Oryctolagus cuniculus: one gene and its partners. The protein of the gene in region 1 interacts with the protein of each later gene in a pairwise test. Links are inferred from orthologs where the notes say so. Each region holds a gene or a part of one and is shown on either strand. Other genes may lie near its edges. The genes, in order: AMOT, C7H1orf216 and PTPA.

The links.
Region 2: the proteins of AMOT (region 1) and C7H1orf216 interact in binary tests that used the Homo sapiens proteins (3 or more experiments, as listed by UniProt). The two-hybrid records come from large-scale screens. The link is inferred for Oryctolagus cuniculus from reciprocal best matches to the Homo sapiens genes AMOT and C1orf216.
Region 3: the proteins of AMOT (region 1) and PTPA interact in binary tests that used the Homo sapiens proteins (3 or more experiments, as listed by UniProt). The two-hybrid records come from large-scale screens. The link is inferred for Oryctolagus cuniculus from reciprocal best matches to the Homo sapiens genes AMOT and PTPA.

The regions. Positions count from the first base shown.
Region 1 is NC_091453.1:80,576,988-80,579,584, reverse strand, and holds part of AMOT (angiomotin), read right to left. Parts: coding exon 2,250-2,597; intron 1,902-2,249; coding exon 1,804-1,901; 3' UTR 1-1,803.
Region 2 is NC_091438.1:136,912,722-136,917,156, reverse strand, and holds the start of C7H1orf216 (UPF0500 protein C1orf216 homolog), read right to left. Parts: upstream 2,870-4,435; 5' UTR 2,619-2,869; intron 8-2,618; 5' UTR 3-7; coding exon 1-2.
Region 3 is NC_091432.1:232,229,153-232,233,513, reverse strand, and holds the start of PTPA (serine/threonine-protein phosphatase 2A activator), read right to left. Parts: upstream 2,887-4,361; 5' UTR 2,801-2,886; coding exon 2,770-2,800; intron 1-2,769. Other genes in the region: CRAT (carnitine O-acetyltransferase), read left to right, coding at 3,924-3,950. UniProt on the Homo sapiens protein: PPIases accelerate the folding of proteins. It catalyzes the cis-trans isomerization of proline imidic peptide bonds in oligopeptides. Acts as a regulatory subunit for serine/threonine-protein phosphatase 2A (PP2A).

The DNA of each region.
Region 1 (2,597 bases):
AAGGCACTGCACAAGAGGCAAGATAAGAATTGTCAGCTCCCTGGACAAACTACTCAAGCCAAGGACATTTTACAAAACACAGATGCCTTGGACCATGAAGATGTCTTTTTCTTAAAATGGGCTCTTTTTCCGTGTATAAGGGTTTCCCAAAATCAGCATGGTAATTGGCAGTGTGGACAGCAGTGCTGTGTGATCTTGAAAAAGTCACCGAACCTCTCTAAGTCTCAGATTCTCATCACTAAAATTAGAGGGAAGGGCTATGTTGCTTAAGTTCCTTCCCATCACTATGGCTCATGATACAATATATCAGGCCTATTCTTCTATTAATCTGGTTTCTAATATATCCCAAAACTTCTATCCCCACCCTTACCTAACAATGCCCCTTCACCCTTCCTATACCCCTGAAAACTGAACTTAATGACACTGTCTGCAGATTTGTCCCCTTAATGAAGGGCAGAGAGGTGACACAGGGCAGGGGCCTGTGGCAAGTAGCACCCTCTGTGTCATTGGAGACAGACTGGCAAGGCTTGCAGCCACTGCCTCCTTTGGTCCCCGCCCACATACACATTTCCCACTGCTTCCCAAAGCTATTTCAAGGAATCCCTGGCAATGAGAAGAGGCAACTGAGAAGACCACACAATCCACCTCTCCTCTGTCTGCACCATAGTACTTTGGCCTTCTAGTGCTATTCCCTTGGAGGCGATAGTCAAATACACTAAGAAACTGGAAAAACAGAATGAATTATTTCAAAACAGTCACCAGAAATTTAAAGCGTTCAACTTGTCAACAAAAACGCTCTCTCATTTTGCAAACTATTGGCAATTTGGGACTAGTAAGTAATCCAGCTAGTGAACCTATGCTATAGAAGAAATAAATACTAAGCTGATTGTTCTCACAAAAGGCAGACAAGCTGTGTTCATGGCTATAACAATCTACACACAGCACCTCATGCAACTCTCCATAGAGGCCTTGGATGCCTAACTCCCCTAGGAGAGAGGAAGTTGCATATCACTCAGTTAATTTACTCTCCTAGCATCTGAAAGCAATATATTAATTATCCAAATGCATAAATTACTTCAGAATATATATATATATATACACACACACACATATATATATATATATATATATGAATGTATGAACCTCCAGGAGGGAACCAAAAGAACCCACTTCCAAAGCACCACTGAAATGAAGATCAACACAATCCCTTGGGGCAAGGTAGCTGGGAAACTGAGAGGGAAAATTAGCTCTAGCATCTTTCTGTATCCCAGTGCTCCCCACCTGTTCTCCAGCTTACATAAGCTCTTAAAACTATTCCCTTTCATGAGCCTGAGGTGAGAGCTTTCTCTGGCTGCTATCCAGTTGGTAACTGCACAAAACAGCACACACATGAACTCTCTCTGGCTTTCCATGTCTGCACTACATGTTATACACTGTCTTTCACACATGCTGTGCTCTTCAATAGAAAATAATCTGGAAGAGGGAAATTTTAAACAAATTTAAGCACACTGAAAACATCACTGTATATCCACCTGGTAACAGTCCCAGTTTTGTACTAATGCAAACAACAGACTTCAGAACACATTCTGATGAGTCTGTCTTTAGAGGTACTTTCGGAGTATACCAGAATAGACTGAAGTTCATATGGTATTACTTAAGTACTATATTGTTCCAATAAAAAGTCCCTTTAGAAAACATACCCACCCCCCAACCCTTATCCTCACCCTAAAAATAAGAACAAACAAAAGGGGGAAATGATTAAAAGCATTGTTTCTGATAAACTCCAGCTCTTGATAAGGTCATTTAGATGAGATATTCCACCATCTCTGCTTCAGGCTCTTGTCCCAGGATCTGAAGGGGTGCTTTTCTTTCCAGAGTATTGGAGTGGAAAACAGGGCCATCTGAATGAAAATAAGGTGTTGAAGATACTTATAAGGATATTTAAAAAGCTCAATTTTCTAGAAACAGACAGCATTAGAGCCCTCGTGGAGGTAAGGGTAAATTGAGCCTTGAGTGCCACCCCCTCACCCCCATTTACTTCTACTGGGAAAATGGCTTCTACTCATGCCCATTCCTGTCTCAGTGGAAGAGAAATCATCTGTAGACCCTCTCCCCTCCTCTAATGGCTCCCCATTACAACATGAAGGGCTCAGTCCAGATGACCATCTCTGCCTGAGCAGCAGGTACCCACAAATCAACCTGCGTTTTGAGAGCCGTACCAAAAGCTCCCTGCTGTAGAGAATTATTACCTGTCTTATCTGAATTGCAAGTCAAACTTGGTATAGACAAACGACGTGATCCAGAACCAGTGGCTGGACTTGCAGGAGCCTCAGCCTGAGCCAAAGCTGGAGCTGGAGCTGGAGATGCAGGAGGAGCCACAGTCGGAGCAGGAGTTGGTGCCTGAGTCTGAGTCGGAGCAGAAGCCTGAGCCACTGCTGGGGCCAGAGCCGGGGCTGGAACTGGAGCTAGAACCGGAGCCGGAGCAGCTGGAGCAACCTGAACTGCAACAGCAGCAACAGCAGCAACAGGAGCAAGAGCAGCAGCAGGAGCAGCAGTGGCGGTGGTGGCAGAGGCAGCAGCTGGCATCTGAGCAGCAG
Region 2 (4,435 bases), on another chromosome or scaffold:
ATCTGGTCTGCAAAGGGGAAGCAGAAGAGTCACACAGGACAGAGCCACAGCAGCCTGGCCACAGGGCAGCAGGCACACGCCTGGCAGCTCCTTGTCATCCCCTCCCCTTGGCTGGGCTCGCACTGCCCCTGCTGGTCCCCACCTCCCTCACTGCTCCTTTGCAGTAGCCTGCACAGCGTGTTTTTCAGCGCTCCGAGGCAGGCTGCCTTTTCGTTCTACACGCTTCTCCCCAGATGACCCGGCTGTGGGCTGCAGCTTTGGGAATCATCATATGCTGGTAACTCTCCAATCTGTCTCCAGCCCAGATCCAACTGTTACCCAGCCCTGCAGCCACCCACAGGCCCCTGGAAATCTCCCAGTCCCAGCCAGCTCCCATCTTCGTGTCCTCAGCAAGACGGCTCTGCTCCCTGTTCAGCCACCCCAGCCAGAGCCCGGAAGCATCCTGGAATAAGCATTTTCCTTCCGTCCCTCATCTCTTATCAATCACCAAATTCAGACAATTCTTCCTCTTCAATTTCGTTTGGCTCAGGCCATTTTTTACCTGGACTAGTGCCACAGCCTTTTCACTAATCTCTCTTCCTGTGGCTAAACATGTAAATTTGGGGGCTCAACGTGGTTGCACAGCAGGTGAAGCTGTTGTGGCAATGCTGGCATCCCATATCAGAAAGCTGGTTCAAGTCCCAGCTGCTCTACTTCCAATCCAGTTTCCTGTTAATGCATCTGGGAAGGCCGTGGAAGATGGCCCAAGTACTTGGGCCCCTACCACTCACATAGGGACCAGGATGGAGTTCCTGGCTCCAGGCTTCAGCTTGGCCCAGCCCTGGCTGTTGCAGCCATTTGGAGAGTGAACTAGTAGACAGAAGATTGGTATTTCTCTCTTCTCTCTGTCACTGACTTTTTTTTTTTTTTTTTTTTTTGGACAGGCAGAGTGGACAGTGAGAGAGAGAGACAGAGAGAAAGGTCTTCCTTTTGCCGTTGGTTCACCCTCCAATGGCCGCCACGGCCGGCGCACCGCACTGATCTGATGGCAGGAGCCAGGTGCTTCTCCTGGTCTTCCATGGGGTGCAGGGCCCAAGCACCTGGGCCATCCTCCACTGCACTCCCTGGCCACAGCAGAGAGCTGGCCTGGAAGAGGGGCAACCGGGACAGAATCCGGCGCCCCGACCGGGACTAGAACCCGGTGTGCCGGCACCGCAGGCAGAGGATTAGCCTAGTGAGCCGCGGCGCCGGCCATGTCACTGCCTTTCAAATAAATAAATGAATTTTTTAAAAAAGATTTATTTAATTATTTGAAAGGCAGAGTTAGAGAGAGAGAGAGAGAGAGACACCTTCCATCCGCTGGTTCACTCCCCAGATGGCTGCAATGGCCGGAGCTGTGGCAATCTGAAGCCAGGAGCCAGGAGCTTCTTCCAGGTCACCCATGAGGGTGCAGGGGCCCAAGGCCTTGGGCCATCTTCCACTGCTTTCCCAGGCCACAGCAGAGAGCTGGATTGGAAGTGGAGCAGCCGGGTCTCAAACCAGCGCCCATATGGGATGCTGGCACTGCAGGCGGTGGCTTTACCCGCTATGCCACAATGCCAGCCCCATAAATAAATGAATTTTAAAATGCAAATTTAAAAATTGAGTGAGTACTGTTCCTGAACTCCTCTTAAAGATCTACATGGCCTAATGGCCCTGAGCACCCGCACCCTGCCTCCCATCACATCCGACTGCTCCAGGAGCTCAAGATCCACTATTGTTGCGCTCCACTATGGCTCTGGCCTGCAGTGCCTGCCTCTCCCTTCCCCTCTAAGCTCCTCCCTCTCCACCCGGCAAATGCTCTGAGGCCTGCCTGAGAATCCCCCCTCCATCTGCCCCGCCCTTAATAAATGTAAACACAGTTCCTCATGCCTTCCTCCAGCTCCCCCCATCACGCTCCTGGAGCAAGCACTGAGGTGCCACGCCCGATGCGCCATCCCTCTTCCCCCACCACCTGCATCCTGGCCCTAGTTTGCCCCATCCGGAGTTCCAGGAGGGAGTGCAAAGGGCATCCCTCTTCCTAGCAGGGCTTCCACCAAAATCCCGGTCTGAACTGAGAAGAGGTTTCTCCCGACCACGACCACACACTTACTCCCAGGACAGGGAAACCGGAGGGTCACTAAGGGGTACAAGGTAAGGGCAGCAGGCCCCAGGGGGACCCCTAAGGTGGCACAGGCTCTTCCCACAGTTGGGAGAGGGCAGAAGGCCTGGAAGGATCCAGTGGGAACGATTCCCGCGGTGACCTGCGGACCCCCAGGCCTCCCACCAAAGTGTGCACTTAGGTGCCTGGAGCCTCCCCCGAGTCTTTTTCCTAAGCAGGCTGGAATGGGCTGGTGGTGGCGCTGAGGATCCTGGGTTCTCAGCGATAGTAAAATGGGGATCAGACCCCGGCCCCACCCCCAGTTAATCCGCAATTTGCCAGGGCCGGGAGCAGCGGCGGCCGCCCTTCCTTCCTGGCGCTGCCGGAGACGTCCCCCGGGGAATAGGGCAGAGGCCGTCCCCGCAGAGCTCCGCGGAGGGGCCGCTGGGCGCGGGCTGCAGCCCCCAGCCCCCGGCCCCCGCGGCGGGGCCCCCAGTCCTCCCCCTCGGCCCGGACTCACGGCCTGGAGGCGCCCGCTCCGGCGCAGCTGGCTCTGGTTCCGGCGCGCCCCGCTCGGCCTGGGGGTGTCTCGCCCGGGCTTTCCCGCGGCCCGGGCCCGGACTGCGGCTGCTGGCGGCGTCTGCGCGGCGGGGCGGGGTTGGGGCGGCCCACGTGGGCCGGTTCGGTTCTGCGTGGGAGCCTTGCGCGGGGCCCCTGCGCCGCAGCCGCCTCCCCCGCGCCGGCTGCTCAAGGCCAGGCCTTCCAGGTCTGGCTGTCGCCTAACGGCGCTCGCTGGGCCCCTCCTTCCTCGAGGCTGTGGCACGCACCGCAGCCTCTGCCTGAAATGTTGTCTCCTGGCTAGGCTTCCCCACATTTCAGATCTGAGAAACCTTCTGTGATCCCCGAGACAAGACTGGTCCCCCGCTTTGTATCATCTCAGAGCACTTATGTTCCTTTGATCAAAATCTGGAATTTTATATTAATTGTGTGCACATCTGATTCATCATTAATGAAAGCTACTTTAAAAAATTATTTAGGGGCCTCAGCGGCCATTTGGGGAGTGAACCAACGGAAGGAAGACCTTTCTGTCTCTCACTATCATTCTGTCAAATAAATTAAAAAAAAATTTAAAAAGTGCACGCCCCATATAAAAAATTATTTATGTATTTGAAAGGCAGAGTTCCAGAGAGGGAGAGAAGAGATCCAGCCCCCAAATGGCCGTGGCCACAATGGTGGAGCCAGGAGCCTGAAACTCTATTTGGGTCTGCCACTTGAGTGGCAGGGGTCCAAGCCCTTGGGACGTCCTTTGCTGCTTTCCCAGGTACATTAGCAGGGAGCCTGATTTGAAGTGGAGCAGCAGGGACTCCGCCAGCCTTCCTATGGATCTTGGCATTGCAGGCCTGGGCTTACCCCACTGCGCCACAAAGCCAGACTGAAGGCTACTTTTTTTTTTTTTTTTTTTTTTTTTTTTTAATATGCTGTGGCGTATTGGGTAAAGCCACCGCCTGCAATGCCGGCATCCCATATAGGTGTTGGTTCGAGTCTCCGCTGCTCCACTTCTGATCTAGCTCTCTGCTATGACCTGGGAAAGCAGTAGAAGATAGCCCAAGTCCTGGGCCCCTGTACCCACGTGGGAGACCCGGAGGAAGCTCCTGGCTCCTGGCTTCAGATCTGTGCAGCTCTGGCCATTGCAGCAACTTGGGGAATGAAGCAGGAATGAAAGACACACACACACTCTCTCTCTCTCTCTGCCTCTCCTTCTCTCTCTGTGTAACTCTAACTTTCAAATAAATAAATAAATCTTTAAAAAAAAAATAGAAAGAGTCCCCTGGGACAGAGCTCAGGTTGCAGAGAATTCCTGCTAGGCACAGACGCCCTCCGTGGCGCCTGCACAGTGGGTTCCTGTGCAGTTGCCCATGTGCACAGATGTAACTGGATAAGAAAGTCCTCGGTCCCAAGCTGGAGTAGCTTGTCAGAGTTCCACTCACTGACCCTGATCCCTGTCACTCCCTTCCTCCTTGTAGTACGTGTGTAGAGAGCTCAGTTTGCAATTAGAGAACAGAGTCATTTCTGACCCTATGAAGCATCCTCTTCCGGTTCCCACGTGATTCTGACTCACCATTCTACAACCTGGAGACCCGATGGCACATCGCACCACACCAACAAACCTACATGCAAAAGCAGGGGAACTGGAGAGAAAAAATTATGATCACAACAACTGCGATTTTAAAACAGAATAGGGGATAGAAGGCAAAAGTCAAAGTTTGGGTAACAGCTAAGAGAATATAGGTGGTGACTTCAGCCCCATTCATACCCAGGCCCTAAGGCCATGTCTCC
Region 3 (4,361 bases), on another chromosome or scaffold:
GTGCGCGCACGCTCTGTCTCACACACACACTGGAAGGACCCCCTTCATTTTAGGACCCTGGTAAGTATAAGCCCTCAACTCCTGATTCATAACCCCACGTCCAAGAAGCTCTGACGCCCAAAGTGTGTTCAGTGCGTCTGTCCCACGTTCACTCGGCACAGAGTGTGCTCAGCGCGTCTGTCCCACGTTCACTCGGCACAGAGTGTGTTCAGTGCGTCTGTCCCACGTTCACTCGGCACAGAGTGTGCTCAGCGCGTCTGTCCCACGTTCACTCGGCACAGAGTGTGTTCAGTGCGTCTGTCCCACGTTCACTCGGCACAGAGTGTGTTCAGTGCGTCTGTCCCACGTTCACTCGGCACAGAGTGTGTTCAGTGCGTCTGTCCCACGTTCACTCGGCACAGAGTGTGTTCAGTGCGTCTGTCCCACGTTCACTCGGCACAGAGTGTGTTCAGTGCGTCTGTCCCACGTTCACTCGGCACAGAGACTGAAGCACTGAGGAGCGCCGGCACCTCACTGTGCAGATGTGCGCACCTCTGGCTCGGGTAATCTCGTCTGTGCTGATGGGGTGCTGCTTTCTGAACCAGGAAAAGCCGAATCCCAGGGTGCAGCTGGGCCCACGGGTTCTGCACAGGGAGGACAGGGAGCTGTGGCCCGAGTCTGCAGCTGGCGAAGTGCACTTCCTGCGAAGACGCACGTCTGCAGGGGCGCACAGGGCCCCAGACACAGGTGCAGGAGTCTGCTCCACCACCCTCCTCCTCAAACCTAAATGACACCAACCACGGAAAAAAGAGACAGCAACCTAAGAAGGTTCTGGAATATGTGACACCTGGGGCTCCAGGGAGGCCATGAGGAAAGGAAAAACACTAGACGCGCTGGAGACCGATGGCGACCCCGTGCGGGAGAAGGGCCGGGCACGGGCACACCCGGGACACAGAGGAGACCCCGTGCGGGAGAAGGGCCGGGCACAGGCACACCCGGGACACAGAGCAGACCCCATGCGGGAGAAGGGCCGGGCACAGGCACACCCGGGACACAGAGGGGACCCCGTGCGGGACAAGGGCCGGGCACAGGCACACCCGGGACACCGAGGGGACCCCGTGCGGGAGAAGGGCCGGGCACAGGCACACCCGGGAGACCGAGGGGACCCCGTGCGGGAGAAGGGCAGGGCACAGGCACACCCGGGAGACCGAGGGGACCCCGTGCGGGAGAAGGGCAGGGCACAGGCACACCCGGGAGACCGAGGGGACCCCGTGCGGGAGAAGGGCAGGGCACAGGCACACCCGGGAGACCGAGGGGACCCCGTGCGGGAGAAGGGCAGGGCACAGGCACACCCGGGAGACCGAGGGGACCCCGTGCGGGAGAAGGGCAGGGCACAGGCACACCCGGGAGACCGAGGGGACCCCGTGCGGGAGAAGGGCAGGGCACAGGCACACCCGGGAGACCGAGGGGATCCCGTGCGGGAGAAGGGCCGGGCACAGGCACACCCGGGACACTGAGGGGACCCCGTGCGGGAGAAGTGCCGGGCACAGGCACACCCAGGACACAGAGGGGGCCCGTGCGGGAGAAGGGCCGGGCACAGGCACACCCGGGAGACCGAGGGGACCCCGTGTGGGAGAAGGGCAGGGCACCGGCACACCAGGGCCCCAGCAAGAGGGACCGGAAGCTCTCTCCCCGCCTCCTGGCCGGCAAACCTTGTTCCCAGAACCCAAATTAAGGCCCCTACTATTAGTAAATTGCTACTTCAGGCAGGATGCTACATAAAAAGCTTTGTAGGCCAGGCGGTAACCTGCACGATGCTGTTATGGGAAAACGCGCTCCACGTCCCCCGCACCCAGCTCCAAACGCTGCGGGGCAGAGGCCTCCGGTCTCGGCCGGCGTGAGAACGGCTCCTGTGGGCAAGGCCAGCAGCGTGGGGGGGCGGGGGGGACACGTCCAGGCCAGGCCCTCCGGGAGGCCCTGCACCGACCAACGCCTCAGATGCCTCAATGCACACTCCCGGGGCAGGAACCTGTGTCCTTCCAGGACGGCCTGGAAGTCACTCAGACGGAGACCCGAGCTGCAGACACGCTCCCCAAGCCCCCGGGGACTCGGACCGCGACCCATCGCCGAGCCCCCACCGCGGCAGAGCCGGGTCCAGGAGAATCTGTTCTCTCTCGTTCCGGGCAGTGCGGGGCCCTGGGGGCCTCCCGCCCGCGCTGCACCTGCACGGGGGGCTCGGCCCAAGGCAGCCGCGACCCCAGCCTGCAGAGCCCGCACAGCCCAGACCCGGGTCTGTCTATCGCTCTCCTCCTGGGGAGCTGGGGGGCGCCTCGCCCTCCGGAGGCCTCTCGCAGCGCCCAGGGAATGCCAGGCCGGGCAGGGGTCGCGGGCCGCCCACCTCCCTCTCCCGCACGAGGCCGGGGTCCCCTAAGGCCAGCCCGCCGGCCGAGGCCCCAGTGCAAACACAGCTCAGAGGCCCTGATGCCCGCGGCGAGTCTCTGTCTTGCTCAACCCGCCTTCCTATAAACGAGAGGTTTGCACACCCGGGGCAGTTTCTCTCCATAAACCCCAGAGCCCGGCCCCGGGCCTGGGGGCGGAGGGCAGCGACCGGCCCCGGCCCCAGCGGCGCTCATAAACCGGGCAGCCGCCGGGCTCCGGCTAACTCCTCCGCCGGGGCAGGCGCGCCGAAGGCCCCCGCACCCGCCGCCCCCGAGCCCCGCCGCCCGGCCGGCGCCCCCGAGCCCCGCGCCCCCGAGCCCCTCCCGGCTGCGCCCCACACCACGGCCCTACCTGGCGGCGGCTGCCGCTCGCCCTCAGCCATCTTCCGCGGAGCCGGCGCGGCGCCCGCAGTCCCCTCTCGGCGTTCACCCCGCACCCGCTCTTCAGGTCCCCGGCTCTGCCACGGGCTCCGAGTTTTCCGGAGAGCAACGAGCGCCGGTCTGCTATCACCGAAAACCGAGAATTAAAGTCACCCCCGCCGAGACGACCGCCATGCTGGTGCCGGGCGCTCAGCGAGCATGCCCAGCAACGGCCGGCTCGCGACGGCCGCGGCGACGACGGGCGGCCGCCATGTCAGTGCGGGGCGCCTGCGGAGCATGCGCACTGAGGGGCCGCCATGTCAGTGCGGGGCGCCCGGGAGCATGCGCACTGCGCCCCAACTGCCGGGCCGCTGCTCGACCGCTAATGGCCCGCCCGGCAGCCGTACTTTCGCGGGTGTCAAGTTTTTGTGGAGGGGTTAAGGGGGGTGCAGCAGCCATGTTTCTGGGAGCCGGTCCCGGCTGTCATCTTAATCTAAAGAATGTCAGAGGACATTCCCGTCACCCTGTGTCTTCCTGCCGCCTATGAGGGCGCACAGCTTCAATGGCATTTGGAGGCGGGGGGAAGAGCTGAACCCTGACCTCGCCTTACCCCTCTGCCTCAGCCCCAGCGCTCCACGGTGTCGCACAACCGCTAGCTGCGCGCCGCTCGCCTCCCCGCCCGCCGTGGCCCCGCCCCGCAGTGGCCCCACCCTAGCCCGCTGTTGGCCCCGCCCCTCCTGCCGTGGCCCCGCCCCGGGCTCGCTATTGGCCCCTCCCCGCAGTGGCCCTGCCCCGAGCCCGCTGTTGGCCCCGCCCTGGGCTCGCTATTGGCCCCTCCCCAAGGTGGCCCCGCCCCGGGCCCGCTGTTGGCCCCGCCCCCGCCTGCCGTGGCCCCGCCCCGGGCTCGCGGCTAGCCGCCCGGGGCTCCGTGACCAAGGCCCCGCCCCGGTGTCCTCCCCGGGCCGTCCGCCCGCCGCCCGACCGGCCCGGTGGGTGGGCGCGGGGCCGCCTCTACCGGCTGGTGGCGGTGACTCGGCGACCTTGGCCCTGAAGCTCTAGCGGGGACCCACCGGCCGCAGCAGCCAAGCGGACTTTGCCCGGTTTGGTGGGCGGAGCGGCCTGCGCGTCCGCGGGCAGACAGCAAAGATGTTAGCCTTTGCCGCCAGGACCATGGTGAGTGCGGACGGAGTCCGGGCGGGAGGGCCCCGGCCGGGCCGGCTGCGCCACTGCGCCGGTCGGGGCGCGGGCCTGGGAGCGGCGCGGCCGGGGGCTCTGGCTGGGGCGGGGCCTGCAGGGGGATCCCCCCCAACCCCGGTGTGGCAGAGGAGGGGGTGGAGGCGCAAGGTCAGGGCCGGATCGAACTCGCGTCCCGCGGCGCGCAGTTCCAGCGACCCGGAAAAGACAGCGAGGACGCGGGCCTCCGCACGCACCCCTAGACCGAGCGGGAGGTGGAGACGCGCGGCTTGAACCGGCACTGCCTCTCCCTGTTTTTCTGAGTCCCATGCCCGTGGTGGCCGACACTTAAACGCTCTCCTCGGGTTTACCAGACGGCCACCGGGGCTGCCAGGGCAGCTCGCGTGGAGG